Linked DNA regions of Stegostoma tigrinum. The main gene of each other region encodes a partner of the protein of the gene in region 3 in a complex. Links are inferred from orthologs where the notes say so. Each region holds a gene or a part of one and is shown on either strand. Other genes may lie near its edges. The genes, in order: pfdn2, pfdn6, uxt and pdrg1.

Region 1 (7,135 bases), on a different chromosome or scaffold from region 3:
ATGCTCCCATGCCCTTTAAGTTAATATGTTTTATGTGGGACTTTTGTCTGGAAATGCAAATAAACCACATCTACAGACTCCCCCACCCAGGTTAACTCCATCAATCATTACGGGTCGTGGCCATTACAGAAACTTGGGTAACTCCAGGACAGGGATGGTTGTTGGAAGTCCCGGGATTTAGATGCTTTGGAAGAAATAGGGAGTGACATTGCTAGTCAGGGGGAGTATAGCAGCTACTAAAAGGCAGTTCAAGAATGATGTGTCTACAGAGTCAGTTTGGGTTGAGGTCCAGAACAAGAAAGGAGCTGTCATTTTGTTGGGGTTTTTTTTATATAAACAGACCCCTAATAGTTGCAGAGAAGTGGAGGAGCGGATTGGGAGGCAGATACTGGAAAGGTGCAGAAGTCACAGGGTTACAAGTCATGGGTGACTTCAACTTTCCAAATATTGATTGGGAACATGTTAGTTGATAGTTGGGATGGAACGGATTGTGTCCAGTCCATTCAGGAAGGATTCCGGACACGGTAAGTACATACAGCAACATGAGGAGAGGACACTTTAGGTACGGTGCTTGGCAATGAACCGGGCCAAGTGTTAGACCTGTGGGTAGGAGAGCATTTTGGCGATAGCGATCATAACTCTGTTACTTTTACAACAGTCATGGAAAAGAATAGATACGTAAAGCAGGGTTAGGTTTACAATTGGGGCAAGGGTCATTAATTCTGTTAGGCAAGAACTGGGTAACATTAAAGGGGAACAGATGCTGTCAGGGAACAGCACTATTGAAATGCGGAGATTGTTTAAAGAAGGCAGACTGCTTGTGTGCTTGATGTGTTTGTCCCTAGCAGGCAGAGAAGATGCAGTCAAGAGGGGTCAAACGTCTGGTTAAGAGGAAGAAGGAGGCTTATATAAGGTTTAGGAAACAAGGAACGGAAAAGGCTCTAGAGGGATACAAGTTAGCCAGGAAGGGGCTGAAGGAAGGGCTTAGGAGAGCTAAAAGGGTGCATGAGAAAAACCTCAGCAGATAGGATCAAGGAAAACCCCAAGGCTTTTTACACATACGTGAGGAATAAGAGAATAACCAGAGATAGGGCAAGGCCGATCATGGACTGTAAAGGGCATTTGTGCACTGAGCCTTAAGAGATAGGAGAGGTCCTTCATGAATACTTTTCTTCAGTATTCACAACTGAGAGGAACCTAGTTGTAGAGGAAGACATTGTGAAACAGGCTGGTAGACTAGAGGAAGTCGATGTCAGTAAGGAAGATATGCTAGGAATTTTGAGGAAGTTGAAGACAGATAAGTCCCCCGGGTCTGATGGGATTCATCCAACGATTCTATGGGAAGTGAGGGACAAGATTGCAGGGCCTTTGGCAATGATCTTTTCGTCCTCACTGTCCATGGGTATACTGCCGGAAGACTGGAGAGAGACGAACATTGTTCCCCTGTTCTAAAAACAGAATAAGGATAACCCTGGAAATTACAGGCTAATTAGTCTTACTTCAATGGTGGGTAAATTATTGGAACGGACTCGGAGATAGGATTCACAATCACTCGGAAAGACAGTTTGATTTGTGATAGTCAGCATGGGTTTGTGAGGGGCAGATCATGCCTCACAAACCTTATTGAATTGTTTGAAGAGGTGACCAAACTCGTGGATGAAGGTGGAGCAGTGGATGTGGTATACATGGATTTAAGTAAGGCATTAGATAAGGATCCCCGTAATAGGCTCATGCAGAAGGTAAGGAGGCATGGGATAGGGGGTAATGTGGCAGATTGTATTCAGAACTGGCTGACCCTTAGAAGGCAAAGGGTGGTAGTGGATGGAAAACATTCAACATGGTGTTCAGTTACGAGTGGTGTACCACAAGGATCTATCCTGGGTCCTCTTCTATTTGTGGTTTTTGTAAATGATTTGGATGAAGGAGTGGAAGGGTGGATTAGTAAGTTCACGGACGATATGAAGGTGGGTTGTGTTGTGGATAGTGCGGAGGACTGTCCTCGGTTACAAAGGGGCATTAATAGGATGCAGAGCTGGGCTGAGAAGTGGCAGATGGAGTTTAACTCTGAAAAGTGAGAGATGACTCATTTTGGAAGGGCAAGCTTGAGAGCAGAATACAGGGTTAACAGAAAGGTTCTTGGCAGTGTGGAGGAGCAGAGGGATCTTGGGGTTCATGTCCACAGTTCCCTGAAAGCTGCCACCCAGGTGGATAGAGTTGTTAAGAAGGTGTACGGTGTGTGAGCTTTCAGTAATAGAGGGATTGAGAACCGTGAAGTTATGCTCCAGCTATACAAAAGCCTGGTTCAGCCACATCTGGAGTATGGTGTCCAGTTCTGGTTGCCTCATTACAGGGAAAGATGTGGAAGTGTTGGAAAAGGTGCAGAGGAGATTTGCCAGGATGTTGTCTGGAATGGAGGGAAGGTCTTACGAGGAAAGGTTGAGAGAGCTAGGGCTTTTCTCTTTAGAGCAACGAAGGATGAGAGGTGATTGACAGAGGTGTACAAAATGATCGGAGATATAGATAGAGTGGACAGCCAGACACTTTTTCCTAGGGTGGAGGTAGCTATGATGAGGGGACATAGATTTAAAGTGAGTGGAGGTAGATATAGGGGTGACATCAGAGGGAGGTTCTTTACTCAGAGAGTGGTCGGAGAGGGGAGTAGAGTCGGCCTCATTAGGGGCATTTAAGCGGCTATTAGACAGGTATATGGATGGAAGTATAAGGTAGGGGTGGAGGTTAGGTAGACCTTAGGATTAGGGTAAAAGTTGGGCACAACATCATGGGCCAAGGGCCTGTGCCATTTATATATAATCAAACCCCGACCCGCCCACCCACCCAACCCTTTCCATTCTCTCTTCCCTCCCCGTCCCGTTACCCGTGCTCCGCCACCTCCTGCTCCAGCTCGGCCCCTTTGCCCGCCAGGCCGCGCTGCTCCTGCCGCAGTTTGTTGAAGCCGGCCAGCACCTGCTCGGGTGTGGGGGCGGCGGCCTGGGCCTGTTGGGCCCGGCCTCCCGACAGCATCCCTACCGCGCCGGGTCCCTCCATCCCACCACTGGAGAGGGGCGGGGCCCTCCGGCCTCCTTTTATAGAGACGGTGGGTGGTGCCCGCGGATACCGCCTGACTGGGCTTTCACATCAACAGCGGGAGGGAAGTCAACCAGTTACATATAAAAAAAACGCAGCGTAAACAAAACCCCGCCGACACACCGAAATAAATCAATAAACCGTGAACCGGCTCTCAATTTCACATCCAACCCCTTTTCACGCCGATCATTTTGTGAAGCCGTCTTTTTTCTGCGCCCCCCCCCTCCAGAAAAAACTTCGGCGAAATTTTCCCTGAATGTTGTAGCATTGTGGGAATGGTGTTCGGGCCGAGTTTGTCCTCCCCCTCCCCTCAAAGGTGTGTCCATATCTGACAGCAGGCAGGTAGATAGGCGGCTAATTCAGCGTCAGGCCCCCTGAGCGGGTTTCCACGGACACTGGGCGCAGGGGCATGTTCTCTCTCAGCCTCCGCGTGACGTTGGCTGCTTGGTAACCGCCCCCTCCCATCATTCCCTATCCCATCATTCCCTATCCCCTTATCCCCCCACTTCCCATCATCCCCCCTCCCATCATCCCCTTCCCAACATTCCCCTCATCCCAATTCCCATCATTCCCCCGTCCCCTTCCCATCGTTCCCTATCCCCTTATCCCCCTACTTCCCATCATTCCCTATCCCCCCACTTCCCATCGTCCCCCTTCCCATCATTCCCTATCCCCTTATTCCCCCATCCCCTTCCCATCATTCCCTATCCCCTCATTCCCCCCATCCCCTTCCCAACATTCCCCCATCCCAATTCCCATCATCCCTGTGTGAAAGGGTTAGGATTAGGATTAGGATTAGGGTTGGGTAATCCCTGATCCCAGTAACCACCCCTTCCCCATTCTATCATCATGTGCCCCCAGTAACTGTCCCCCTTTTACCCCCTTTCCCATCATCCCCTTATCCCCAAACTTCCCATCATCCCCATCCCCCTATCACCCCCCCATCATCCTTATCCCCCATCCCCCCCTTTCCATCGTCACCCCCATCCCCTTATACCGCCTTCCCATCGTTCCCCCATCCCCTTATCCCGCCTTCCCATTGTCTCCCATCCCTCAACCCCATGTATCCCACTTCCCATCATCCCCCAACCCTTTATCCACTTCACTTCCCATCATCCCCCATATACCCCACTTCCCATCATCCCCCAACCCTTTATCCACTTCACTTCCTATCATGCCCCATATACCCCACTTCCCATCATCCCCCAACCGTTTATCCACTTCACTTCCCATCATCCCCCATCCCCTTAACCCAACTTCCCGTCACCCCCATCCCCTTATACTCCCTTCCCATCATCCCCCAGTGATCTCTCCTCCTGCATTACCCCAATTTCCTTTATCCTCCCCATCATCTGCCCTCCCACAGTAACCACCCCTCCCCTTTACCCTGATTCCCATCATCCCCTACCCCCTTTATCTCAGACCCGAGTAATCACCCCTCTCCCTTTACCCCCATTCCCATCAACCCCTACCCCCTTAATCCCTGATCCATTCCATCAGCATACACCCCCAGTAACTGCCCCCCCATTCCCATTATCCCTCTTCCCAACATCACCAACCCCACAGCCTACACCCCCATCCCTCACATCTCCTAGCCTTCACAAGCCCTCCCCAGCCACACATCCCCCTACCCCACACATGCAAAATCCCATCCCCCCAATCTCCATCCCTCACATCCCTCCCCTCCCCATCACTTATTCCCCCTCCGCTAACCCCCCTTCGCTTCCTGAGCTCTGCCTGTGTGCTTCCCAATGACCAGAGGACAGGGACACCCAGGACCCTTTTGTGCATCGAGCTTTCCTGGTCTATCAATGCTTAACTCAGACTCTGTGATTCTGGGGTTTGTTTAAACCCTTACCAAAGCTGACAATTTGCCCTTTCTCTGTGTGACGGTACTTGTATTTGTCCACTCGCTAAATTGCCCTGTAACCTCCTCACTGCTCACAGCCCCCACCCAGTTCTCACACTGGATTCCTTGCTGCAAATTACTGATGTTAGTTGTGGATAGTTCGGGGCCGGCTGCTCAGGCTGGCAGTATTGACCGTTCCCACTCTGCGAGCGACCCATTTGTTCCTACGCTCTTGTTTCCCTGTTGCTCTTTCTCGGGTAGATGAGGTGGTGGGTGTTGGTGAGGAAGGACTGGGCGCCGGAAGGAACGTGGGAGCGGCTCGCTGAGAGTGCCTGGGAGTCGAAAGTATCCCAGTTTGGCAACGTCTTTTCCCGTCTGCAAGTTTGCGGTTGATGTCTTTTCTTGAGGAATGTTGGAAGCTGGTTTGAAGGAGGTTCGAGGGAAGGTGTGTCTCTATGCGACACTCACTCTCTCTCTCTCTGTCTTGGACAGGTTGCGAGGGATGGCGACGCTGAAGAGGAGTTTGATTGGAGTGTGCCAGCTGAACAGCACGGGGGACAAGGAGAGAAATTTTGCTGAGTGTCAGGCGCTGGTGAGGGAGGGGGCAGAGCGAGGGGCCAAGTTCCTCTTCCTCCCTGAAGCCTTTGATTATGTTGCCTCATCTCAGGAGCAGACACTCAGCCAGGCAGAGACCCTGGAGGGCGATCTCATCCAACGGTATTTCCGCATGGCCAGGTACCCGTGCTCCCTCGCACCTCTCCCTTTCCTGCCTCTGACGCCACTCTTCCTTCTTACCCTCACTCTCTTCCCCCACGTTGACCACCTTCCAGTGTCTCTGAAGGTGTCTCTCCCCCGTCCATTTTCCTCTCAAGGAGGAAGTTTTCTCCTTCGCATGTTAGAGTTTTATTTTGTATCGCGCAATCACCAAGCTGCAGCAGCTTGCCCAGAAGTCAATCAGAAAATTGCTACAATGGTGAGCGTTGCAGTTGGTCCTGGTTCACAATCATTCAAAAGTCTGTCACTGATTATACAATAAATGGAAAAGTCCTGGGGAAAATTGATGAACAGAGAGATCTGGGTGTTCAGGTCCATCGTTCCCTGAAGGTGACAACGCAGGTCAATAGGGTGATCAAGAAGGCATATGGCATGCTTTCCTTCATTGGCCGGGGTATTGAGTACGAGTTGGCAGGTCATGTTGCAGTTGTATAGGACTGTGGTTCGGCCACATTTGGAGTACTGTGTACAGTTCTGGTCACCACATTATCAAAAGGATGTGGATGCTTTGGAGAGGGTGCAAGGGTGGTTCACCAGGATGTTGCCTGGTATGGAGGGTGCTCGCTATGAAGAGAGGTTGAATAGATTAGGATTATTTTCATTAGAAAGACGGAGATTGAGGGGGGACCTGATTGAGGTCTACAAAATCATGATGGGTATAGACAGGGTGGATAGCAAAAAGCTTTTTCCCAGAGTGGGGGACTCAATTACTAGGGGTCATGAGTTCAAAGTGAGAGGAGGAAAGTTTAAGGGAGATATGCCTGGAAAGTTCTTCACACAGAGGCTGGTGGGCGCCTGGAACACGTTGCCAGCCGAGGTGGTAGAGGTGGACACGATACCATCTTTTAAGATGTATCTAGACAGGTACATGGATGGGCAGAGAGCAAATGGACACAGACTGTTAGAAAATAGATGTCGGGTTAGACAGAGGATCTTGATCGGCGCAGGCTTGGAGGGCCGAAGGGCCTGTTTCTGTGCTGTAGGTTTCTTTGAGTAAACCTGCCCTGAGCACCCACACACGCTCACTCACTCACAAAGCAGAGGTGTTGAACACTCTCCGTCACTAGCGATAATGGGAACTGCAGACGCTGGGGAATCCGACATAACACGGTGTGAAGCTGGATGAACACAGCAGGCCAAGCAGCATCCCAGGAGCACAAAAGCTGACGTTTCGGGCCTAGACCCTTCAATCAGAGAGGCTGTCTGATGAAAGGTTTAGGCCCGAAACGTCAGCTTTCCTGCTCCTCTGATGCTGCTTGGCCTGCTGTGTTCATCCAGCCGCACACTTTGTTGACTCCCTGTCACTATTTGAGCGAGATAACTGAATTTGGAGCACAATATGAGTTGCAGTAACATACCAAGGTGTGGAGCTGGATGAACACAGCAGGCCAAACAGCATCAGAGGAGCAGGAAGGCTGAGGTTTCGGG
Region 2 (7,565 bases), on a different chromosome or scaffold from region 3:
ACTGTTCCACGTAACCTACAAAGAGGCAGGCATAGCTGGGGCCCATGTGGGTGCCCATGGCCACCCCCTTAGTCTGTAGGAAGTGGGAGGAGTCAAAAGAGAAGTTGTTGAGTGTGAGGACGAGTTCAGCTAGGCGGATGAGAGTGTCGGTGGAGGGGGCCTGGTCGGGCCTGCGGGACAGGAAGAAGCGGAGGGCCTTGAGGCCACCTCCATGCGGAATGCAGGTGTACAGGGACTGGACGTCCATGGTGAATATGAGGTGTTGGGGGCCAGGGAATTGGAAGTCCTGGAGGAGGTGGAGGGCGTGGGTGGTGTCACGGACGTAGGTGGCGAGTTCCTGGACCAAAGGGGAGAAAATGGAGTCCAGATAGGTGAGATGAGTTCGGCGGGGCAGGTACAGGCTGAGACGATGGGTCGACCAGGGCAGGCAGGTTTGTGGATTTTGGGAAGGAGATAGAAACGGGCCGTGCGGGGTTGGGGAACAATGAGGTTGGAGGCTGTGGGTGGGAGGTCCCCTGAGGTGATGAGGTCATGAATGGTGTTGGAGATGATGGTTTGGTTCTCGGGGGTGGGGTCATGATCGAGGAGGCGGTAGGAGGTGGTGTCGGAGAGTTGGCGTCTGGCCTCGGCGATGTAGAGGTCAGTGCGCCATACTACCACTGCGCCACCCTTGTCTGCGGGTTTGATGGTGAGGTTGGGGTTGGAGCGGAGGGAGCGGAGGGCTGCCCGTTCTGCGGGGGAGAGGTTGGAGTGGATGAGAGGGGTGGAGAGGTTGAGGCGGTTAATGTCTCGACGGCAGTTGGAGATGAAGAGGTCGAGGGAGGGTAGGAGGCCTGGGGGTGGTGTCCAGGAGGAGGACTTGTGTTGGAAGCGGGTGAAGGGGTCAGTGGAGGGAGGGTTGGGTTCCCGGTTGAAGAAGTAGGCATGGAGGTGAAGACGGTGGAAAAACTGCTCTATGTCCGACCGTGACTGGTATTCGTTGATGTGTGGTTGTAGGGGGACAAAGGTGAGCCCCTTGCTTAGGGCTGACCGTTCGTCCTCAGTCAGTGGGAGGTCTGGGGGGAAGGTGAAGATGCGGCAGGGCTCAGTGTGGCTGTCTCCTCTGGGGTTGCAGGCTGTGGAGGTTGTGGGCGGAGCGATGAGGCCGTCGGCTGTGGGCGGGGTTCCGTCAGCCATGGGCGGGGTTCTGTCAGCCATGGGCGGGGTTTCGACCAGGCCCCCTCCACCGACACCCTCATCCGCCTAGCTGAACTCGTCCTCACACTCAACAACTTCTCTTTTGACTCCTCCCACTTCCTACAGACTAAGGGGGTGGTCATGGGCACCCGCATGGCCCCCAGCTATGCCTGCCTCTTTGTAGGTTACGTGGAACAGTCCCTCTTCTGCACCTACACAGGCCCCAAACCCCACCTCTTCCTCCGGTACATTGATGACTGTATCGGCGCCGCCTCTTGCTCCCCAGAGGAGCTTGAACAGTTCATCCACTTCACCAACATCTTCCACCCCAACCTTCAGTTCACCTGGGCCCTCTCCAGCACATCCCTCACCTTCCTGGACCTCTCAGTCTCCATCTCAGGCAACCAGCTTGTAACTGATGTCCATTTCAAGCCCACCGACTCCCACAGCTACCTAGAATACAGCTCCTCCCACCCACCCTCCTGCAAAAATTCCATCCCCTATTCCCAATCCTCCGCCTCCGCCGCATCTGCTCCCACGATAAGACATTCCACTCCCGCACATCCCAGATGTCCAAGTTCTTCAAGGACCGCAACTTTCCCCCCACGGTGATCGAGAACGCCCTTGACCGCGTCTCCCGCGACACATCCCTCACACCCCGCCCCTGCCACAACCGCCCCAAGAGGATCCCCCTCGTTCTCACACACCACCCCACCAACCTCCGGATACAACGCATCATCCTCCGACACTTCCGCCATATACAATCCGACCCCACCACCCAAGACATTTTTCCATCCCCACCCCTGTCTGCTTTCCGGAGAGACCACTCTCTCCGTGACTCCCTTGTCCGCTCCACACTGCCCTCCAACCCCACCACACCCGGCACCTTCCCCTGCAACCGCAGGAAATGCTACACTTGTCCCCACACCTCCTCCCTCACCCCTATCCCAGGCCCCATGATGACATTCCACATTAAGCAGAGGTTCACCTACACATCTGTCAATGTGGTATACTGCATCCACTGTACCCGGTGCGGCTTCCTCTACATTGGGGAAACCAAGCAGAGGCTTGGAGACCGCTTTGCAGAACACCTCCGCTCAGTTCGTAACATACAACTGCACCTCCCAGTCGCAAACCATTTCCACTCCCCCTCCCATTCTCTTGATGACATGTCCAACATGGGCCTCCTGCACTGCCACAATGATGCCACCCGAAGGTTGCAGGAACAGCAACTCATTCCGCTTGGGAACCCTGCAGCCTAATGGTATCAATGTGGACTTCACCAGTTTCAAAATCTCCCCTTCCCCCACCGCATCCCAAAACCAGCCCAGTTCATCCCCTCCCCCCACTGCACCACACAACCAGCCCAGCTCTTCCCCTCCACCCACTGCATCCCAAAACCAGTCCAACCTGTCTCTGCCTCCCTAACCGGTTCTTCCTCTCACCCATCCCTTCCTCCCACCCCGAACCGCACCTCCATCTCCTACCTACTAACCTCATCCCACCTCCTTGACCTGTCCGTCTTCCCTGGACTGACCTATCCCCTCCCTACCTCCCCACCTACACTCTCTCCACCTATCTTCTTTACTCTCCATCTTCGGTCCGCCTCCCCCTCTCTCCCTATTTATTCCAGAACCCTCACCCCATCCCCCTCTCTGATGAAGGGTCTAGGCCCGAAACGTCAGCTTTTGTGCTCCTGAGATGCTGCTTGTCCTGCTGTGTTCATCCAGCCCCACACTTTATTATCTTGGATTCTCCTGCATCTGCAGTTCCCATTATCTCTGTCTACCTTTCTGTAGCGCCTGGTACTTCTCCAGCTCCTGCTGCAGCTTCCTCTGGATCCCGTCCGCCATTTTTCACCGAACTCTGACCCCCGCCGCCGTGCGACTGACGTCTCGACGCCTGACCCCGCCCCTGACGCTGACATCACCCTTTCCCCGCTGCCGGCTAAGAACATCACCCTGACCCCGCGCCCGGCACAGACATCACTCTGACCCCGCCCCCGGCTGAACATCACCCTGACCCCGCGATAATAAAATGTGAGGCTGGATGAACACAGCAGGCCAAGCAGCATCTCAGGAGCACAAAAGCTGACGTCTCTCTGATGAAGGGTCTAGGCCCGAAACGTCAGCTTTTGTGCTCCTGAGATGCTGCTTGACCTGCTGTGTTCATCCAGCCTCACATTTTATTATCTTGGAATCTCCAGCATCTGCAGTTCCCATTAACCCTGACCCCGCGCCCGGCACAGACATCACTCTGACCCCGCCCCCGGCTGAACGTCACCCTGACCCCGCCCTCGGCTCTACCGTCACCCTGACCCCGCCCCCGACGCTGACATCACCCTTTCCCCGCGCCCGGCACGGACATCACCCTGACCCCGCCCCCGGCTCAACGTCACCCTGACCCCGCCCTCGGCTGAAACGTCACCCTGACCCCGCCCCCGGCTCGAACGTCGCCCTGACCCCGCCCCCCAGTGCATCCCTTTACACCGCCCCCTGCTGTTAGCCACTGACAGCCCCCAGTAATAATTACTCACCCTCCCGGCCTGATCATTACCAGCTCCTTTGCCTGTCCAGCTACTCTCTCTCTTTGGGCTCTATCCCCCCCTGCTCCCCCCGCCACCCTGTCTTCTGCATATAAACTAACATGTTCTTGGCCACCATCAGTTCTGTGGGAGGGTGGACCCGAAGCGTTAACTCTGATTTCTCTCCACAGATGCTGCCAGACCTGCTGAGCTTTTCCACCAACATCTGCTTTTATTTCCTGTCGGGTTTGCCCGGGAATCCTGTATGTTCCGATAAGGTCACCTCTCGTTCCAAGCTCCGATCAGTAGGGGCTCAAACTACCCAACGTCTCCTCAACCCAGGGTCAGACGTGTGAACCTTATCTGGGGCTGTCTCCAGTGGCAAGACCCTGTGAACCATGGCAGCTCCACACCGCCTTCAGGCAAAGCTCCTGCAGAACCCACTGATTGACTGATTGATTTGTTGTCACGTGTGCCTGAGTACAGTGAAAAGCCTTGTTTCTTAGCAGTACCAGCTAGATTGTAGTAAGCAAAGGGTGTACAGATCTAACAACATTTCAACCAACTGGATTCCAAAGAGCATCTCTGCCGCTGGATCCTGGTCTCCCAACTCCGTGATGGTCAGCCCTCATCGAATCAGAGAACCTTGGTTGCAGAAAAAGGGCCTATCGAGCCTGTAACTCTCTGTTTTCTATGAGTTGGTCAATCCTCTATTCATGCTCACATCACCATTGTCAGCAACTACTCGCTATCAGATTTGGTGGGGGTGGTGTGTGTCTGATTGTCCCCGTAAGAAATTCTGTGTCACTGGTCATGGGTCTGTGGTTCCTTGTGTGGCCAATGGGCCTGATCCTAGGGTTGCATCTCCAAATATACATTTGGCAGGTGTTTCCAGGAGATGGGATTGGCCTTTGGCATTTCTTTCTTCAGCTCCTTTTCTGTATTTCCGCTTACCTACATGTGCTTTCTGAGGATTGTGTCCCTTCACATAGGAGTTTCCTCCATTCAGTTTCTTCTGAATGAGGGTCTTCCACATGATAACATTTATGTTGCATTTCTTGAGGCATCTTGGGAAGTCTTTGAAATGCTTCCTTTGCCCTCCTCTTGTTCGTGTGCCTTTCTTGAACTGCGTGAAGATGATTTACTGTAGTAGTCGAAACTCAGACTTCCTAAGTAAGTGGCCAGCCCAGCGGAGTTGGTTTTGGATGACCATGGCCTCTGGTGCTGTTAGCTGCTTCAAGGACATTCATGTTAGTACGTCTGTCCTCAAAATACACAGAATCAATCTCAAACAGTGTTGGCGGTGCTTCTCAAAAGCTTTGAGAGTCTACACATAGTCGACTCTGAGCCATTATAGAAAAGTTAGAAGGGTGATTGCCTTAAATATCTCTTGGTATCAGTATGGATGTCATGGTCATCGAAGACTCTAATCCTTAGATGTGCCAAGGCGATACTCACAGATTGGATGTGGTGTTGGATCGCCGTATCAATGTCAGCCTTAGATGTGACTTAGCTTTCCAAGTAAAGGAAATGTTCCATTTTGATACAATTTTTCCATTGATCTAAATGGTGGGATGGACCAGAATTTTGCCTTGGGAAGGGCTGCTAGGAGACTTTTGAGTCTCCTAAAGGTTGACGCTGACACCAATTCATTGGTATGATTCCACTAAGACATTACGAGAGGCTTGAAAATTCTCTTCCGAGACAGCAGAGATGAGATTGTCGTCTTCATGCTGAAGTTCGACAAGCAAGTTGTAATATTTTCAACAGACAATAGGTGCTGGAGTAGGCCATTCGGCCCTTCGAGCCAGCACCACCATTCATTATGATCATGGCTGATCACCCAGTTTGGTGTCATATCCTTCTTAAATTTCAACTGACTGAGGTTGTCTATCCTGTAGACAATGTCCGCATTACTGAGAAGTTTGTTCTTAATAAGGTGAAGATTGGTAATGATGAAGATGAAGAAAATGGCAGCAGTGATGATAGACAGTAGGAACTGCAGATGCTGGAGAATCCGAGATAACAAGGTGTAGAGCTGGATGAACACAGCAGGCCAAGCAGCATCTTAGGAGCAGGAAAGCTGACGTTTCAGGCCTGATGAAGGGTCTAGGCCTGAAACGTCAGCTTTCCTGCTCCTATGATGCTGCTTGGCCTGCTGTGTTCATCCAGCTCCACACCTTGTTATCTAGCAGTGATGATATCCTGTTTGACTTCGAAGGCCACTTTTGGAATACAGCGTTTGATTCTGGTCTCCCTGGTACAGGGATGATATTGTAAAACTGGGAAGGGTTCAGAAAAGATTTAGAAGGCTGTTGGACAGCACGATGGTTCACTGGTTAGCGCTGCTGCCTCACAGCTCCAGGGACACAGGTTCGACCCCACCCTCGGGCGACTGTCTGTGTGGAGTTTGCACATTCTCCCCGTGTCTGTGTGGGTTTCCTCTGGGTGCTCTGGTCTCCTCCCACAGTCCAAAGATGTGCAAACTAGCTGGATTGGCCATGCTAAATTACCTTGTAGTGCCAAGGATGTGTAGATTAGGTGGATTAGCCACAGGAAATGTAGATTTACAGGGGTAGGATAGTGGAATGGGTCTGGGTCAGATGCTCTTTGGAGGTTCAGTGTGGAATTATTGGGCCAAATGGCTTTTTTCCACACTGTAGGGATTCCATGGATTTGCAGGGTTGGAGGGTTTGAGCTTTAGGGAGAGGGTGAATAGGGTGGGCCTACTTTCCCTGGAACTGAGGGGTGACCTTATAGAGGTTTATAAAATTATGAGGGGCATGAATAGGGTGAATAGAGAGGGTGAATATCGAAGAGCATATAGGGTTAAGGTGAGATGGGAAATATTTAAAAGGGAGCTGAGGGGTAACTTTTTCCCACAGAGGGAGGTGCGTGTATGGAATGAGCTGCCAGAGGAAGTGGTGGGGGCTGGTACAGTTACAACATTTAACAGGCACCTGGATGGGTATATGGATAGGAAGGGTTTGGGGGGATAGGGGCCAAATGCTGGGGAAAGGGATTGGATTAATGTAGAAAATCTGGCTGGCATGGATGGGTTGGATGGAAGGATCTGTTTCCGTGCTGTATCGCACTATGACTCCATTCTCTCAGGTTACCATCAGTGGGGACTGTTTCTCACATCTTGTTGTGGAGGAGACAGAGGATGTTGATGAACTTCACTGGACAGTGTCTTTCTGAACAGTTCCCCATGAATGTAGCGTCCCCAGCACCGAGGGTGCGTCTACCTCATCAAGCACTCTCTGCTTCTTCTCCTGTCCTGCTCAAGGAATTCTAATCTATCTGACAGAGCATCATTACACCTTTCATGAAACCATGTGTTCTGCACAGTCATATTATTCAATGCTAAATGCTCTGCTGTTTATTATCAGCTGGAACATTTTCTCCATTTGGAGTACAAATGGGAAGTGCTGGAGAAACTCAGCAGGTCCGGTAGAATTCAGACAGAGAGAAAAACACAGAGTTGACATTTCGGGTCCAGTGAACCTTCGCCTGAGCTGACAGAGCTGGGGAATGGTGGCACTTATGTCGGGGGATGGGAGTCAAGTATAGAATAAAGTGAATCAGCGTTCCCCCTTCTGCTCCTCTGTCTTATAGTCTTTTCTTCATAGTCTGGCATTTGTGTGGTGTGAATGTCACTTCTTGCTTCTCATTCCAGGCCTTGTTGCACTTGGACACGGACTGTTTCAGTATCTGAGGAGCAGCTGAACATTGTATAATCGTCAGCGAACATCCCCACTTCTGACCTTATGATGGAGGGAAGGTCATTGATGAAGATGGTTGGGCCGAGGACACTGCCCTGAGGAACTCCTGCAGAGATGTCCTGGAACTGAGATGACTGACC
Region 3 (7,697 bases):
CCCACTCGGGGAGAGCGCGGCCCACTCGGGGAGAGCGCGGCCCACTCGGGGAGAGCGCGGCCCACTCGGGGAGAGCGCGGCCCACTCGGGGAGAGCGCGGCCCACTCGGGGATAAGGCGGTTCACTCGGTGAGATCGCGGCTCACTCGGGGATAAGGAGGTTCACTCGGGGAGAGCGCGGCTCACTCGGGGATAAGGCGGTTCACTCGGGGAGAGCGCGGCCCACTCGGGGAGAGCGCGGCCCACTCGGGGAGAGCGCGGCCCACTCGGGGAGAGCGCGGCCCACTCGGGGAGAGCGCGGCCCACTCGGGGAGAGCGCGGCCCACTCGGGGAGAGCGCGGCCCACTCGGGGAGAGCGCGGCCCACTCCGGGGAGAGCGCGGCTCACTCCGGGGAGAGCGCGGCTCACTCCGGGGAGAGCGCGGCTCACTCGGGGAGAAGCGGCTCGCTCCGGGATAAGGCGGCTCACTCGGGGAGAGCGCGGCTCACTCGGGGATAAGGCGGCTCACTCGGGGATAAGGCGGCTCACTCGGGGAGAGCGCGGCTCACTCGGGGAGAGCGCGGCTCACTCGGGGAGAGCGCGGCTCGCTCCGGGATAAGGCGGCTCACTCGGGGAGAGCGCAGCTCACTCGGGGATTAGGCGGCTCACTCGGGGAGAGCGCGGCTCGCTCCGGGATAAGGCAGTTCACTCGGGGATAAGGCGGCTCACTCGGGGAGAGCACAGCTCACTCGGGGATTAGGCGGCTCACTCGGGGAGAGCGCGGCTCGCTCCGGGATAAGGCAGTTCACTCGGGGATAAGGCGGTTCACTCGGTGAGATCGCGGCTCACTCGGGGATAAGGCGGTTCACTCGGTGAGATCGCGGCTCACTCGGGGATAAGGCGGTTCACTCGGTGAGATCGCGGCTCACTCGGGGATAAGGCAGTTCACTCGGGGATAAGGCGGTTCACTCGGTGAGATCGCGGCTCACTCGGGGATAAGGCGGTTCACTCGGGGAGAGCGCGGCTCACTCGGGGATAAGGCGGCTCACTCGGAGAGAGTGCAGCTCACTCGGGGATAAGGCGGCTCACTCCGGGATGAGCGCGGCTCCCTCCGGGAGAGCGCGGCTCACTCGGGGAGGGCGCGGCTCACCCGGGGAGGGCGCGGCTCACTCGGGGAGAGCGCGGCTCACTCCGGGATAAGGCGGCTCACTCCGGGATAAGGCGGCTCACTCCGGGAGAGCGCGGCTCACTCGGGGATAAGGCGGCTCACTCCGGGATAAGGCGGCTCACTCCGGGAGAGCGCGGCTCACTCCAGGATAAGGCAGCTCACTCCGGGATAAGGCGGCTCACTCTGGGATAAGGCGGCTCACTCCGGGAGAGCGCGGCTCACTCGGGGATAAGGCGGCTCACTCCGGGATAAGGCGGCTCACTCCGGGAGAACGCGGCTCACTCCGGGATAAGGCGGCTCACTCCGGGATAAGGCAGCTCACTCCGGGATAAGGCGGCTCACTCCGGGATAAGGCTGTGCACCGTCTTATCGCAGATTCTCCAGCATCTGCAGCCCCCGTTATCTCTGGTTAACTCTGATCCTGGGTGACCGCAGTCTCGGTGAGTGTGTGTCGACCAGGTTTGAGACGGACCGGGCTCGCCTCCATCGGGATGGCGCGTACAGGCGGGACTGCGCCGCTGTTGAGTGCGAGAGCGCGCCGGTTACTATCGCGGCGAGGCTGGGGGGGGGGCGGGGGGGGGTGGAAACGGGCCCTGTCGCTGTCGGCCGGTGTTAGAGCCACGGTGGGGGTGGGGGCCGTCGCTGTCGGCCGGTGTTAGAGCCGCGGTGGGGGCCGTCGCTGTCGGCCGGTGTTAGAGCCGCGGTGGGGGTGGGGGCCGTCGCTGTCGGCCGGTGTTAGAGCCGCGGTGGGGGTGGGGGCCGTCGCTGTCGGCCGGTGTTAGAGCCGCGGTGGGGGTGGGGGCCGTCGCTGTCGGCCGGTGTTAGAGCCGCGGTGGGGGTGGGGGCCGTCGCTGTCGGCCGGTGTTAGAGCCGCGGTGGGGGTGGGGGCCGTCGCTGTCGGCCGGTGTTAGAGCCGCGGTGGGGGTGGGGGCCGTCGCTGTCGGCCGGTGTTAGAGCCGCGGTGGGGGTGGGGGCCGTCGCTGTCGGCCGGTGTTAGAGCCGCGGTGGGGGTGGGGGCCGTCGCTGTCGGCCGGTGTTAGAGCCGCGGTGGGGGTGGGGGCCGTCGCTGTCGGCCGGTGTTAGAGCCGCGGTGGGGGTGGGGGCCGTCGCTGTCGGCCGGTGTTAGAGCCGCGGTGGGGGTGGGGGCCGTCGCTGTCGGCCGGTGTTAGAGCCGCGGTGGGGGTGGGGGCCGTCGCTGTCGGCCGGTGTTAGAGCCGCGGTGGGGGTGGGGGCCGTCGCTGTCGGCCGGTGTTAGAGCCGCGGTGGGGGTGGGGGCCGTCGCTGTCGGCCGGTGTTAGAGCCGCGGTGGGGGTGGGGGCCGTCGCTGTCGGCCGGTGTTAGAGCCGCGGTGGGGGTGGGGGCCGTCGCTGTCGGCCGGTGTTAGAGCCGCGGTGGGGGGGGGGGGCCGTCGCTGTCGGCCGGTGTTAGAGCCGCGGTGGGGGTGGGGGCCGTCGCTGTCGGCCGGTGTTAGAGCCGCGGTGGGGGTGGGGGCCGTCGCTGTCGGCCGGTGTTAGAGCCGCGGTGGGGGTGGGGGCCGTCGCTGTCGGCCGGTGTTAGAGCCGCGGTGGGGGTGGGGGCCGTCGCTGTCGGCCGGTGTTAGAGCCGCGGTGGGGGTGGGGGCCGTCGCTGTCGGCCGGTGTTAGAGCCGCGGTGGGGGTGGGGGCCGTCGCTGTCGGCCGGTGTTAGAGCCGCGGTGGGGGTGGGGGCCGTCGCTGTCGGCCGGTGTTAGAGCCGCGGTGGGGGTGGGGGCCGTCGCTGTCGGCCGGTGTTAGAGCCGCGGTGGGGGGGGAGGGGGGGACCTGTCCGAGAGCTGCTCCAGCTCCGCTCTCCTCTCCCCCCGCAGCAGGCGACCGAGGTAATGGCGGATCAGGCCGAGGGAGACGCTCATCAGGACGATGGGGAGAACCACCCAGAGGCGGATACTTGAGTCGAGGAGCAGGAGCTCAGCCATGGCCGGGCAAGTGGTGGGGGGGGGGGGGGGGGGGTCTGGGTCTTGAAGCCTGGGGCTTTGGGAAGTGGGGGGAGTAGGCCTTGAAGCCTGGGGCTTTAGTGGGGGGGGACTAGGCCTTGAAGCCTGGGGCTTTATTGGGGGGGACTAGGCCAGGAAGCCTGGGGCTTTGGGAAGGGGGGAGACTAGGCCTTGAAGCCTGGGGCTTTAGTGGGTGGGACTAGGCCGGGAAGCCTGGGGCTTTGGGAAGGGGGGGACTAGGCCTTGAAGCCTGGGGCTTTAGTGGGGGGGACTAGGCCTTGAAGACTGGGGCTTTGGGAAGAGGGGGACTAGGCCTTGAAGCCTGGGGCTTTAATCGGGGGACTAGGCCTTGAAGCCTGAGGCTTTAGTTGGGGGGACTAGGCCTTGAAGACTGGGGCTTTGGAAACAGGGGGACTAGGCCTTGAAGCCTGGGGCTTTAGTGGGAGGGACTAGGCCCTTGAAGCCTGGGGCTTTGGGAAGAGGGGGACTAGGCCTTGAAGCCTGGGGCTTTAGTGGGGGGGGAACTAGGCCTTGAAGCCTGGGGCTTTAGTGGGAGGGACTAGGCCCTTGAAGCCTGGGGCTTTGGGAAGAGGGGGACTAGGCCTTGAAGCCTGGGGCTTTAGTGGGGGGGGGAAACTAGGCCTTGAAGCCTGGGGCTTTAGTGGGAGGGACTAGGCCTTGAAGCCTGGGGCTTTGGGAAGAGGGGGACTAGGCCTTGAAGCCTGGGGCTTTAGTGGGGGGGGGAAACTAGGCCTTGAAGCCTGGGGCTTTAGTGGGAGGGACTAGGCCTTGAAGCCTGGGGCTTTAGTCGGGGAGGGGGGACTAGGCCTGAAAAGCCTGGGGTTTAGGCCCGGGGCCTGGAGATGGAGCGACGGTTAGAAACCGATTCAAGTTGTCACCCCTGACCCGGTAGTGAACGTCTGTGTTTTCCCGCCTTTGATGGACGGCGGCGATAAAAGTAATGAATTTATTTTAATTTTGTTTCTGTTCGAAAACGGTTTCGACCTTTATTTGTTTTTCGTTGCAAAGAGAAATATTTCCAGAAGTTTTTATTTCTTTTTAACAGGGCGAACCAATCGTCTCGCCGTTGCCGTGCCGACTCCGGCCAATCGGCGCCCGTGTCTCATTCGTCCTTCACAGTTCGGCCGTTAGAATGAGATCTTACAAAAAGTGGGACAACCCCAGCTCCGACCAATCGGAAGCGAGGAGCTGTTGTTTACCCCCGGTCGTCATTGGTCCGCAAGCGACCAATGAGAGACTGCTTATGTGGCCCCCATCCCCAGCCACGCGTCGTCCTGAGACCAATCCGAAAAGCGGAGCCGGGGTTTGCGGGCGGCCATTGCGACCAATTAGAGGCCGGTGCGCTCGGGCTGCGCATCACCATTGGCCTGCATCTGACCAATCAACGGTGCGGAGAGGTGGACCTCGCTCTTTATTGGTCCGTTAGCAGTCACTCAGAGGTGTTTGCACAGGCCGGGGCCAATCGGCTGCGTTTGTGTCACGGCGGCGCAGTAATGGCTGAGGGAGCAGGGCGGAAGGTTCTGGAATATGAGGCTTTTGTCAATGACGTCTTAAAGAGAGACCTGAAGTGAGTGGGGGTCAGGGGTCAGTGGGAATCTAGGGGTTCGGGGGCGTCACTGGGAGATGGGCCACGTGACTGTTGTTCCAGTCACATGGCAGAGTCTGGGGTCACGTGTACTCAGACCGTGGTCACGTGTCTATCTCGGACCGGGGTCACGCGTCCCTCTGGGGGCGGGGTCACGTGTATATCTCAGACTTGGGGTCACATGACCCTCTGGGGCCGGGGTCACGTGTCTATCTCAGACTTGGGGTCACATGACCCTCTGGGACCATGGGTCACGTGTCTATCTCAGACTTGGGGTCACATGACCCTGTGGGACCGGAGTCACGTGTCTATCTCAGACTTGGGGTCACATGACCCTGTGGGACCGGAGTCACGTGTCTATCTTAGACTTGGGGTCACATGACCCTGTGGGCCGGGGCAACGCGACCCTCTGGGGCCGGGGCAACGCGTCCACCTGGGACCGGGGCAACGTGACCCTCTGGGACCGGGGCAACGCGACCCTCTGGGACCGGGGCAACGCGACCCTCTGGGGCCGGGGCAACGTGACCCTCTGGGACCGGGGCAACGCGACCCTCTGGGGCCGGGGCAACGCGACCCTCTGGGACCGGGGCAACGCGACCCTCTGGGGCCGGGGCAACGCGACCCTCTGGGTCCGGGGCAACGCGACCCTCTGGGACCGGGGCAACGCGACCCTCTGGGGCCGGGGCAACGCGTCCACCTGGGACCGGGGCAACGTGACCCTGTGGGGCCGGGGCAACGCGTCCACCTGGGGCCGGGGCAACGCGACCCTCTGGGGCCGGGGCAACGCGTCCACCTGGGACCGGGGCAACGTGACCCTCTGGGACCGGGGCAACGCGACCCTCTGGGGCCGGGGCAACGCGACCCTCTGGGACCGGGGCAACGCGACCCTCTGGGACCGGGGCAACGCGACCCTCTGGGGCCGGGGCAACGCGTCCACCTGGGGCCGGGGCAACGCGACCCTCTGGGACCGGGGCAACGCGACCCTCTGGGACCGGGGCAACGCGTCCACCTGGGGCCGGGGCAACGCGACCCTCTGGGACCGGGGCAACGCGTCCACCTGGGGCCGGGGCAACGCGACCCTCTGGGACCGGGGCAACGCGACCCTCTGGGGCCGGGGCAACGCGTCCACCTGGGGCCGGGGCAACGTGACCCTCTGGGACCGGGGCAACGCGACCCTCTGGGACCGGGGCAACGCGACCCTCTGGGACCGGGGCAACGCGACCCTCTGGGGCCGGGGCAACGCGTCCACCTGGGGCCGGGGCAACGCGACCCTCTGGGGCCGGGGCAACGCGACCCTCTGGGGCCGGGGCAACGCGACCCTCTGGGGCCGGGGCAACGCGACCCTCTGGGGCCGGGGCAACGCGACCCTCTGGGGCCGGGGCAACGCGACCCTCTGGGGCCGGGGCAACGCGTCCCTCTGGGACCGGGGCAACGCGTCCACCTGGGACCGGGGCAACGCGACCCTCTGGGGCCGGGGCAACGCGACCCTCTGGGGCCGGGGCAACGCGACCCTCTGGGGCCGGGGCAACGCGACCCTCTGGGACCGGGGCAACGCGACCCTCTGGGGCCGGGGCAACGCGTCCACCTGGGACCGGGGCAACGCGTCCACCTGGGACCGGGGCAACGTGACCCTCTGGGGCCGGGGCAACGCGTCCACCTGGGACCGGGGCAACGCGACCCTCTGGGGCCGGGGCAACGCGTCCACCTGGGGCCGGGGCAACGCGTCCACCTGGGACCGGGGCAACGCGACCCTCTGGGACCGGGGCAACGCGTCCACCTGGGACCGGGGCAACGCGTCCACCTGGGACCGGGGCAACGTGACCCTCTGGGGCCGGGGCAACGCGTCCACCTGGGACCGGGGCAACGCGACCCTCTGGGGCCGGGGCAACGCGTCCACCTGGGACCGGGGCAATGCGACCCTGTGGGACCGGGGCAACGCGTCCACCTGGGACCGGGGCAACGCGACCCTCTGGGACCGGGGCAACGCGACCCTCTGGGACCGGGGCAACGCGACCCTCTGGGGCCGGGGCAACGCGACCCTCTGGGGCCGGGGCAACGCGTCCACCTGGGACCGGGGCAACGCGTCCACCTGGGACCGGGGCAACGCGACCCTCTGGGACCGGGGCAACGCGACCCTCTGGGACCGGGGCAACGCGACCCTCTGGGACCGGGGCAACGCGACCCTCTGGGGCCGGGGCAACGCGTCCACCTGGGACCGGGGCAACGCGTCCACCTGGGACCGGGGCAACGCGACCCTCTGGGGCCGGGGCAACGCGTCCACCTGGGACCGGGGCAACGCGACCCTCTGGGGCCGGGGCAACGCGTCCACCTGGGACCGGGGCAATGCGACCCTGTGGGACCGGGGCAACGCGTCCACCTGGGACCGGGGCAACGTGACCCTCTGGGACCGGGGCAACGTGACCCTCTGGGACCGGGGCAACGCGACCCTCTGGGGCCGGGGCAACGCGACCCTGTGGGACCGGGGCAACGCGACCCTCTGGGGCCGGGGCAACGCGACCCTGTGGGACCGGGGCCACACGTCCACCTGGGACCGGGGCCACGCGTCCACCTGGGACCGGGGCAACGTGACCCTGTAGGACCGGGGCAACGCGACGCTGTGGGACCGGGGCAACGCGACCCTGTGGGACCGGGGCCAGGCGTCCACCTGGGACCAGGACCGGGGCCACGCATCCACCTGGGACCGGGACCGGGGCCACGCGACCCCCTTCAGCCCACGCCCCAGCACCGCCCCCTCCCCAGGACACACACCAGGGAAAGCCCGCAGCGACCGGGCCCAGGGCTGGTGCCAGTATTCTGAGCCTCAGCATCGCTTCTGCAGCCCCCTGAGTGACGTTCTCTGAGGGTCTGCACTGCAAACCCGCCGGGGGGCGGTGGTGGGGGAGAGACGTGACAACGGGGAGCTCCCCTCACCACCCACCATCACCGCGCCACCCCCCCCGCCCCCGCCACCAACGT
Region 4 (7,160 bases), on a different chromosome or scaffold from region 3:
CTGGATGAACTCAGCAGGTCTGGCAGCATCTGTGAAGAGAAATTAGAATCATCATTTCAAATCCAGTGATACTTCTTCAGAACATCCTTTTAGATATGTCCCTTCTCACCTTAAACTTATGCCCTCTAGTTTTGGAAAGCCCCAGTCTAGGGAAAAACCTTGTCTACTCACACTATCATGATTTTATGAACCTTTATAACGTCACCCCTCAACCTCTGATGTTCCAGGGAAAGTAGCCTCAGCCTATTCAGCCTCTTCCTATAGCTCAAACCCTCCAGCCCTGGCAAGAAGCTTGTAAATCTTTTCTAAACCCTTTCAAGTTTGACAACATCTTACCTATAGCAGGGAGACTAGAATTGCAGGCAGTATTCCAATAGCGGCTAACCAATGCCCTATACAGCCACATGACTTTCCAAATCCTATACTCAATGCATTGACCAATAAAGGCAACCACATCAAACGCCACATTCACTATCCCATCTACCTGTGACTCCACTTTCAAGAACTATGAAACATGACTCCAAAGTCTCTTTGCTCAACAACACTCGCCAGGACCTTACCACTTAGTTTGTAACCCCTGCCCAACTTGCCTTTCCAAACTCCTCACATTTATCTAAATTAAACTGTACCTGCTGCTCCTTATCCCACCAGCCCATCTGATCAAGATTCCATCGTACTCCCAGGTAACCTTCTTCAGTGTACACCACGTATTTTGGCATCATCTGCAAATTTAATAACCATGCCTACGTTCACATCCAAATCATTCATACAAATGACAAAAAGCAGTGGACTCAGCACTGATCCTTGTGGCACACCACTGGTTACTGGCCTCCAGTTTGAAAAGCAACCCTCCACCACCACCCACTGTCCTCTACCTTTGAGCCAGTTCTGTATCCAAATGGCTAGTTCTTCCTGCATTCCATATGATCTAACACTGTTAGCCAGCCTACGATGTAAAACTTTGTTGAACGTCTTAATGAAGTCCACATAGATCATGTTCACCACTCTGCCTTCATCATTCCTGTTCTTTACTTCTTCAAAAAAAATTCAATCAAGTTAGGTTAGACACACTTTCCACACACAAAGCCATGTTAAACATCCTAATCAGTCCTTGCCTATCCAAATACATCTAAATCCTGCTCCTCTGTGTTTCTTCTCACTGATCTATAGCTCCCTGACTTTTCCTTACCACCTTCTTCAAATAGCTAATCTCCAGTCTTCCAACACCTCATCTGAGGCTATTCATGATATAAATATCTCAGAAAGGGGCCCAGCAATCACTTCTCTAGCTTCCCAAAATGTTCTACGGTACATCTGGTCAGGTCCTGGGGATTTAGCCACCTTTACGCTGGAGCAGTTCAAGAACAGGTTGGTCTCATGGCCAAGTTGAGTTTGGTCAGGCCATGATAGGAGACAGGAGAGAAGGTGGGGAAGGAAGAAATAACAGGGCTTGGGTATGGAAGAGCATCTGTTCCAGTTTGTCTCAAAGAAAGAAAAAGTGGCAGAGGTAGGTGATCAGATGATCTCAAACTTAGTGATGAAATATCCATAAATTTGTGGTAATCACTGCAGTTGAAAGCTGCGGAAACTGGTTACAGTAGAGGAAAAAGCCAGGTGTTATCTATTATCTCCAAGATTATCCTGGAGTAAGCAACTTTCAGAAAACAGCAGGACCAGATAGGAGCTTATCTGGTCCAGCTTCATTTAGCGGTAAACGACTAAACTAGGTTTCTGCCAAATCCTTTCAAATGCTCATGCCTCAGAACATAAGATACAGGAACAGAATTAGGCCACTCGGCCCACAGAGTCTGCTCAGTGATTTGATCATGGCTGATATATTTCTCACCATTCTCCTGCTTTCTCACTATAACCCTTGATCCCCTTAACAATCAAGAACCTAGCTATTTGTCTTAAATACACTCTATGATTTGGCCATCACAACCTTCTGCAGAAGTGAATTCCACAGATTAAATAAATCTCTGGCTGAAGAAATCCTCCTCATTTCAGTTCAAGAGTGTGCGTTAGAGTCCTAGTCTACTCCTACTAGTGGAAACACCTTCTCCATGTTCAGTCTTTCCAGACTTCTCAGCATTCTACATGTTTCAATAAAATTCACATGTCATCGTTCTAATCAATTGAGTTCAGACCACTCTTCACATAACAAGCCTTTCATCTCTTGGATCATTCTTGGAAACTTCCTCTGGGCCCCTCCAATGCCAGCACATCCTTAGATTGCAGGCCCTCAACTGTTAACAATATTACAAATGTGGTCTCACTAGGGCCCCACACAGCCTCAACAGTACATCTCTGCTCTTCCAGAAGTAGAAAGGTTTGCAACTACCCTTACAAGACCCTCATTTAGGAAGGGTAGAAATTAGTCAAGGTTGCTCCCATTATCCAATGCATTATGTTTTTCTGGTGAGAAATATTTCTCTAAGTCCTTGACCCTTTTACTCTGATACTTGAGTTGAGTAATCTATTGACATGGTGCATCTTTCTATCTATCTTAACATTTCTTTTTTAATATTTTGTCATTAAAAATGGTAACCAGAACATGGCAACTTAAACACTTCTCACCTGTATTTTCCCAAATACAAGTGACAACAAATTACTATACTACACAGACTGCTAGCATTGCATTAGCCTTCCTAACTGCAAATTGAACCTACATGGTAACCTTAAGAAAATCCTGAACTAGGTCTAAGTCCCTGGGTAGGCTGACATTTAACACAAACACATTTGATGATGGCCCTATACCCGGCAGGGACACTTGGTGCCAGGTCCAGTAGTAAGCGCAGTATAGGCATGGTCAACAACGAACGTTTCAGCGCCGACGATCCACGCCAACCCAACCCGAAACACAGGCCGCCATTGTACCTGCTGTTTATCAGCCAGCAAACTCTCCGCCAGCTCCTCCACCTCAGTCAGATAGTTCACCACCTCCTCCTCCGGCTTCCGCGCCATCTTCACCCTGAACCAACTTCTAACCGTCTCCGCCCGAGCTGTCAATCAACAGAGCTCCACCCGTTTCATTGGCGCTGCCCAGTTCCCCGTGTGATTGGTGAATATACTGCCAATCAACGGTATCTTTTGTGACGAGACTCAACCGCGCAGCATCCTGGGAATTGAAGTCCTTTCTGGGCTTCTTCCAAACGATCCAGCCCACTATAATAATAAAATGTGAAGCTGGATGAACACAGCAGGCCAAGCAGCATCTCAGGAGCACAAAAGCTGACGTTTCGGGCCTAGACCCTTCATCAGAGAGGGGGATGGGGAGAGGGAGCTGGAATAAATAGGGAGAGAGGGGGAGGCGGACCGAAGATGGAGAGTAAAGAAGATAGGTGGAGAGAGTATAGGTGGGGAGGTAGGGAGGGGATAGGTCAGTCCAGGGAAGACGGACAGGTCAAGGAGGTGGGATGAGGCCCAGTTCGTCCCCTCCCCCCACTGCACGACACAACCAGCCCAGCTCTTCCCCCCCACCTACTGCATCCCAAAACCAGTCCAACCTGTCTCTGCCTCCCTAACCGGTTCTTCCTCTCACCCATCCCTTCCTCCCACACCAAGCCGCACCCCCAGCTACCTACTAACCTCATCCCACCTCCTTGACCTGTCCGTCTTCCCTGGACTGACCTGTCCCCTCCCTACCTCCCCACCTATACTCTCTCCACCTATCTTCTTTACTCTCCATCTTCGGTCCGCCTCCCCCTCTCTCCCTATTTATTCCAGCTCCCTCTCCCCATCCCCCTCTCTGATGAAGGGTCTAGGCCTGAAACGTCAGCTTTTGTGCTCCTGAGATGCTGCTTGGCCTGCTGTGTTCATCCAGCCTCACATTTTATTATCTTGGAATTCTCCAGCATCTGCAGTTCCCATTATCTCTGATCCAGCCCACTATTTAGGTTCAGTCCTTTTCTCCTTTTCTGTTCTAAGTGTTTCTCTGGCTTCCTCTTCGTCACTTTAACCATCCTATGTGGCAGTACCTTCCTCGTTTTGACCACTCTCTCTGGATGAAAAAGTGAATCCTGAATTCTTACACGCAGAGAACGCTGGAGAAATTATAGCAACATTGTTAACGTTTGAAGTCCAGCACTGGAGGGTTTGAGTTATAAGTAGAGGCTGGAACTTTATTTCTCCCTGGCCAAAGGAGGTTAAGTGGTGGCCTTATAGAGGTTTATAAAATCGTAAGGTGCATTGATAGGGTGAATAGCCAAGGTCTTTTCACCAGGTAGAGGAGTCCAAAAATAGGGGGCAAACGTCTAAGATGAGAGAGGAAAGATTCAAAAGGGACCTGACGGGCAACTATTCCACACAGAGGGTGCTGCAGATTTGGAACGGGCTGTCAGAGGAACTGGCATGCAAAATTACAACATTTAAAAGACGTTTGAACAGGTATATGGATAGGAAAGGTTTAGAGGAATACAGACCTGACATAAGCAAATGGGACTAGTTCAATCTAGGAACCTGGTGAACATGGACGAGTTGGGCTGAAGGGTCTGTTTCTGTGCTGTATGACTCTAAGATTCTAACCTTATTTAATTTATTTGGATGATCATACATTCTGCTGCAACTGGAGTTTATCATCTCTATGACTTCCCTTTCATAACTTAAAAACCTCAAGGTCTTTTTTCTCGCGGAAGAAAATCTACACATTCAATGACTGCTGACAGATATAAATGCTCAGCTCTGGTATTATTTGTGTAAATCTTTTTAACATTTTATTCAGTGTCTGTAAATCCTTTGTATGACATTACCTCAGTTCAGGTGTTACACTTGTTAATCTTTATTTGCCTTTATATGCTTGGTACCTTTATATTATTTTTATAATATGGAAAGCAGAACTGTTCACAGTATTCCCAATCGCAATTTAACTAAATTTCAACAAATCTTCATAAAGAATGTTATATCTCTGCTTTTCAATTTTATCCCTTATGAAACAAACTCCTGTGCTTGGTTTGTGCTGTTGTGGATTTATTAATCTGTATTAATAATGTCAAAAATGTGTCTGTCTATAACTCCAAAGCCTCTGCTCTCCAATCCAGTGAACACTCTTTTCTTGTTTCCAGGCAATATGTACTCTCTCTATTCCTCATCCTAAAAGATGCTGTCTTATACTTATCAATGTTCAATAAGGGTTTCAAATAACCTTTCCAACTTTTCAATATTATACCTCTTGAAATAAAGACTCATGTTTGATTTTCTTCTTTTATCACCTTGCTAACCTATGGCCTAACTTTAGTGATTTGTGCATTTGTAATTTTGTTATTATTCATTAATGGGATGAGGGCATTCGCTGGCTAGGCAGCATTCATTGCCCATCCCTAATTGCCCAGAGAGCAGTTCAGAGTCAACCACATTGCTGTGGGTCTGGAATCACATGACCGGACCAGGTAAGGATAGTAGAGATAATAGGAACTGCAGATGCTGGAGATTCCGTGATAACAAAGTTTGGAGCTGGATGAAGACAGCAGGCCAAGCAGCATCTTAGGAGCAGGAAAGCTGACGTTTCAGGCCTAGGAGGGCAGTTTTCTTCCCTAAAGGACATCTTGAACCAGTTGGGTTTTCAATGACAATCTGCAATTAGATTCCTAATTCTAGATATTTTTATTGAATTCAAATTCCACCATCTGCCATGGTGAGATTTGAACTTGGGTCCCTAGAACATTATCTGGGTGTCTGGAGAAACATTCCAGGGATAAATACCACTAGACCATTGCCTCCCCCAGACTGACATGTTCAATTCTTCCTACCAGGCTTTGGAAGGAATGCATCTGGATAAAGTATGAAGTTTTTGTCTCCTTATTTAAGAAACCTGTCAGCATTATACTAGAAGCAATTCTGATAAGAAAACCCATTCAACTCAGATCTGGGATGAGGTGTCACCATATAAGGAAAGGTTGAACTCTGTCAGAGGCGTCCATAGGAGTTTAGAAAACCGAGAGGTAATCTTATTGAAATAGCTAACATCCTAAGGGAACTTAACAGGTGGATTCTGAATGGATATTTCCCTGTGTCAGAGAGAACTAGGGGACGTGTTTCCAAAGATGGAGATGAAGAGGAACTTTTATAAAATACTTGAGCATTATGGGCATGTGAAACTCTTCCCTATAGAATGGTGGAGGCTGGATCTTTTGAACATTTTTAAGGCCAAGGTGGAAACATTCTTAAGAGCAAAAGAATTAAATGGTTTTGGGAGCAAACAGTTAAGGGGAATTAGGGCAACAATCAGATCAGTCATGATCTTGTAAAATGACAAAACAGATTGAGGGCCCTAATCCTGACTAACTTGCATTTTCTGATGTATGCTTGTGTTGTTGCATCTCACACTTATCTGTGCTAACCTTCATTTGTTAATCATATATCTATTCTTCAAGTTCCTTTATTTCATTGCAGTCCCCCTTTAGTTTAACTACACTGCTTAATTTGGTGTACAATTACAAATATAAGGTATTATCCTTTGCCTGTTTCATTCTGCAGTTGTAAAAGCCTTAGCGAGAACCATATCTTGAGTGTTATATGGAAAGATTGATTTGGTCCATACTGCTTAGAATGTAGAATTATGAGAAGTGATCCATTAAAACATACGCAATCTTAAAATGAACTGATATGATAGCTGCTGAAATGATTTTTCTCTGACTTGGATGTGTCTACATAGCTTTCAAATAAGGGGTGGGACAATTAAGACTGAGATCAGGAGAAATGTATTCCTTCAAAGGGTTATTAATCTTTGAAATTCTTTACCCCAAGGAGGATGTGTGCTTAGTCCAAGATTCGTCAGAGATCCATAGATTACTGTGTACTCAAGGAATCGAAGGATATTGGAAGAGTATGGGAGATGGAATATGAATAAGTAGATCATCCATGATCGTAGTCAATAGCACAGCTGGCTCGAGAGGCTGAAGTAATCTACTCCGGTTCCAGTTTCTTAAATTGTTATGTTTAGCTCATAGTACGTGCTGCAAGGCGACTACATCTCCCAGAGTGCACAGGTACGGACACTTTATAAAAGCTGTGGTCGAAGGGGGCGCTTCGCTAATGTGAGCCGGGAGCTGCAGAGCAGTGTCTCGCTAATAGTTGCAGAGCTGTATCCTCACAGCCAGCCCTCCGCAGCATTGACACCCTTATTCAACAAACAAAAACCGAGCTTTACAACTGTCTGCAAACAC

Evidence for each region.
Region 1: uxt (region 3) and pfdn2 share a complex: the UniProt entries of both Homo sapiens proteins name them as parts of the PAQosome complex. The link is inferred for Stegostoma tigrinum from reciprocal best matches to the Homo sapiens genes UXT and PFDN2.
Region 2: uxt (region 3) and pfdn6 share a complex: the UniProt entries of both Homo sapiens proteins name them as parts of the PAQosome complex. The link is inferred for Stegostoma tigrinum from reciprocal best matches to the Homo sapiens genes UXT and PFDN6.
Region 4: uxt (region 3) and pdrg1 share a complex: the UniProt entries of both Homo sapiens proteins name them as parts of the PAQosome complex. The link is inferred for Stegostoma tigrinum from reciprocal best matches to the Homo sapiens genes UXT and PDRG1.

The regions. Positions count from the first base shown.
Region 1 is NC_081399.1:9,851,020-9,858,154, reverse strand, and holds the start of pfdn2 (prefoldin subunit 2), read right to left. Parts: upstream 3,073-7,135; 5' UTR 3,046-3,072; coding exon 2,876-3,045; intron 1-2,875. Other genes in the region: nit1 (deaminated glutathione amidase), read left to right, coding at 4,836-4,924, 5,426-5,668. UniProt on the Homo sapiens protein: Binds specifically to cytosolic chaperonin (c-CPN) and transfers target proteins to it. Binds to nascent polypeptide chain and promotes folding in an environment in which there are many competing pathways for nonnative proteins.
Region 2 is NC_081387.1:28,276,566-28,284,130, forward strand, and holds the start of pfdn6 (prefoldin subunit 6), read right to left. Parts: upstream 3,101-7,565; 5' UTR 3,030-3,100; coding exon 2,966-3,029; intron 1-2,965. UniProt on the Homo sapiens protein: Binds specifically to cytosolic chaperonin (c-CPN) and transfers target proteins to it. Binds to nascent polypeptide chain and promotes folding in an environment in which there are many competing pathways for nonnative proteins.
Region 3 is NW_026728639.1:9,942-17,638, forward strand, and holds the start of uxt (protein UXT), read left to right. Parts: upstream 1-4,568; 5' UTR 4,569-4,629; coding exon 4,630-4,703; intron 4,704-7,697. Other genes in the region: ER membrane protein complex subunit 3-like, read right to left, coding at 2,946-3,097. UniProt on the Homo sapiens protein: Involved in gene transcription regulation. Acts in concert with the corepressor URI1 to regulate androgen receptor AR-mediated transcription. Together with URI1, associates with chromatin to the NKX3-1 promoter region.
Region 4 is NC_081372.1:55,170,977-55,178,136, reverse strand, and holds the start of pdrg1 (p53 and DNA damage-regulated protein 1), read right to left. Parts: upstream 3,034-7,160; 5' UTR 2,965-3,033; coding exon 2,878-2,964; intron 1-2,877. UniProt on the Homo sapiens protein: May play a role in chaperone-mediated protein folding.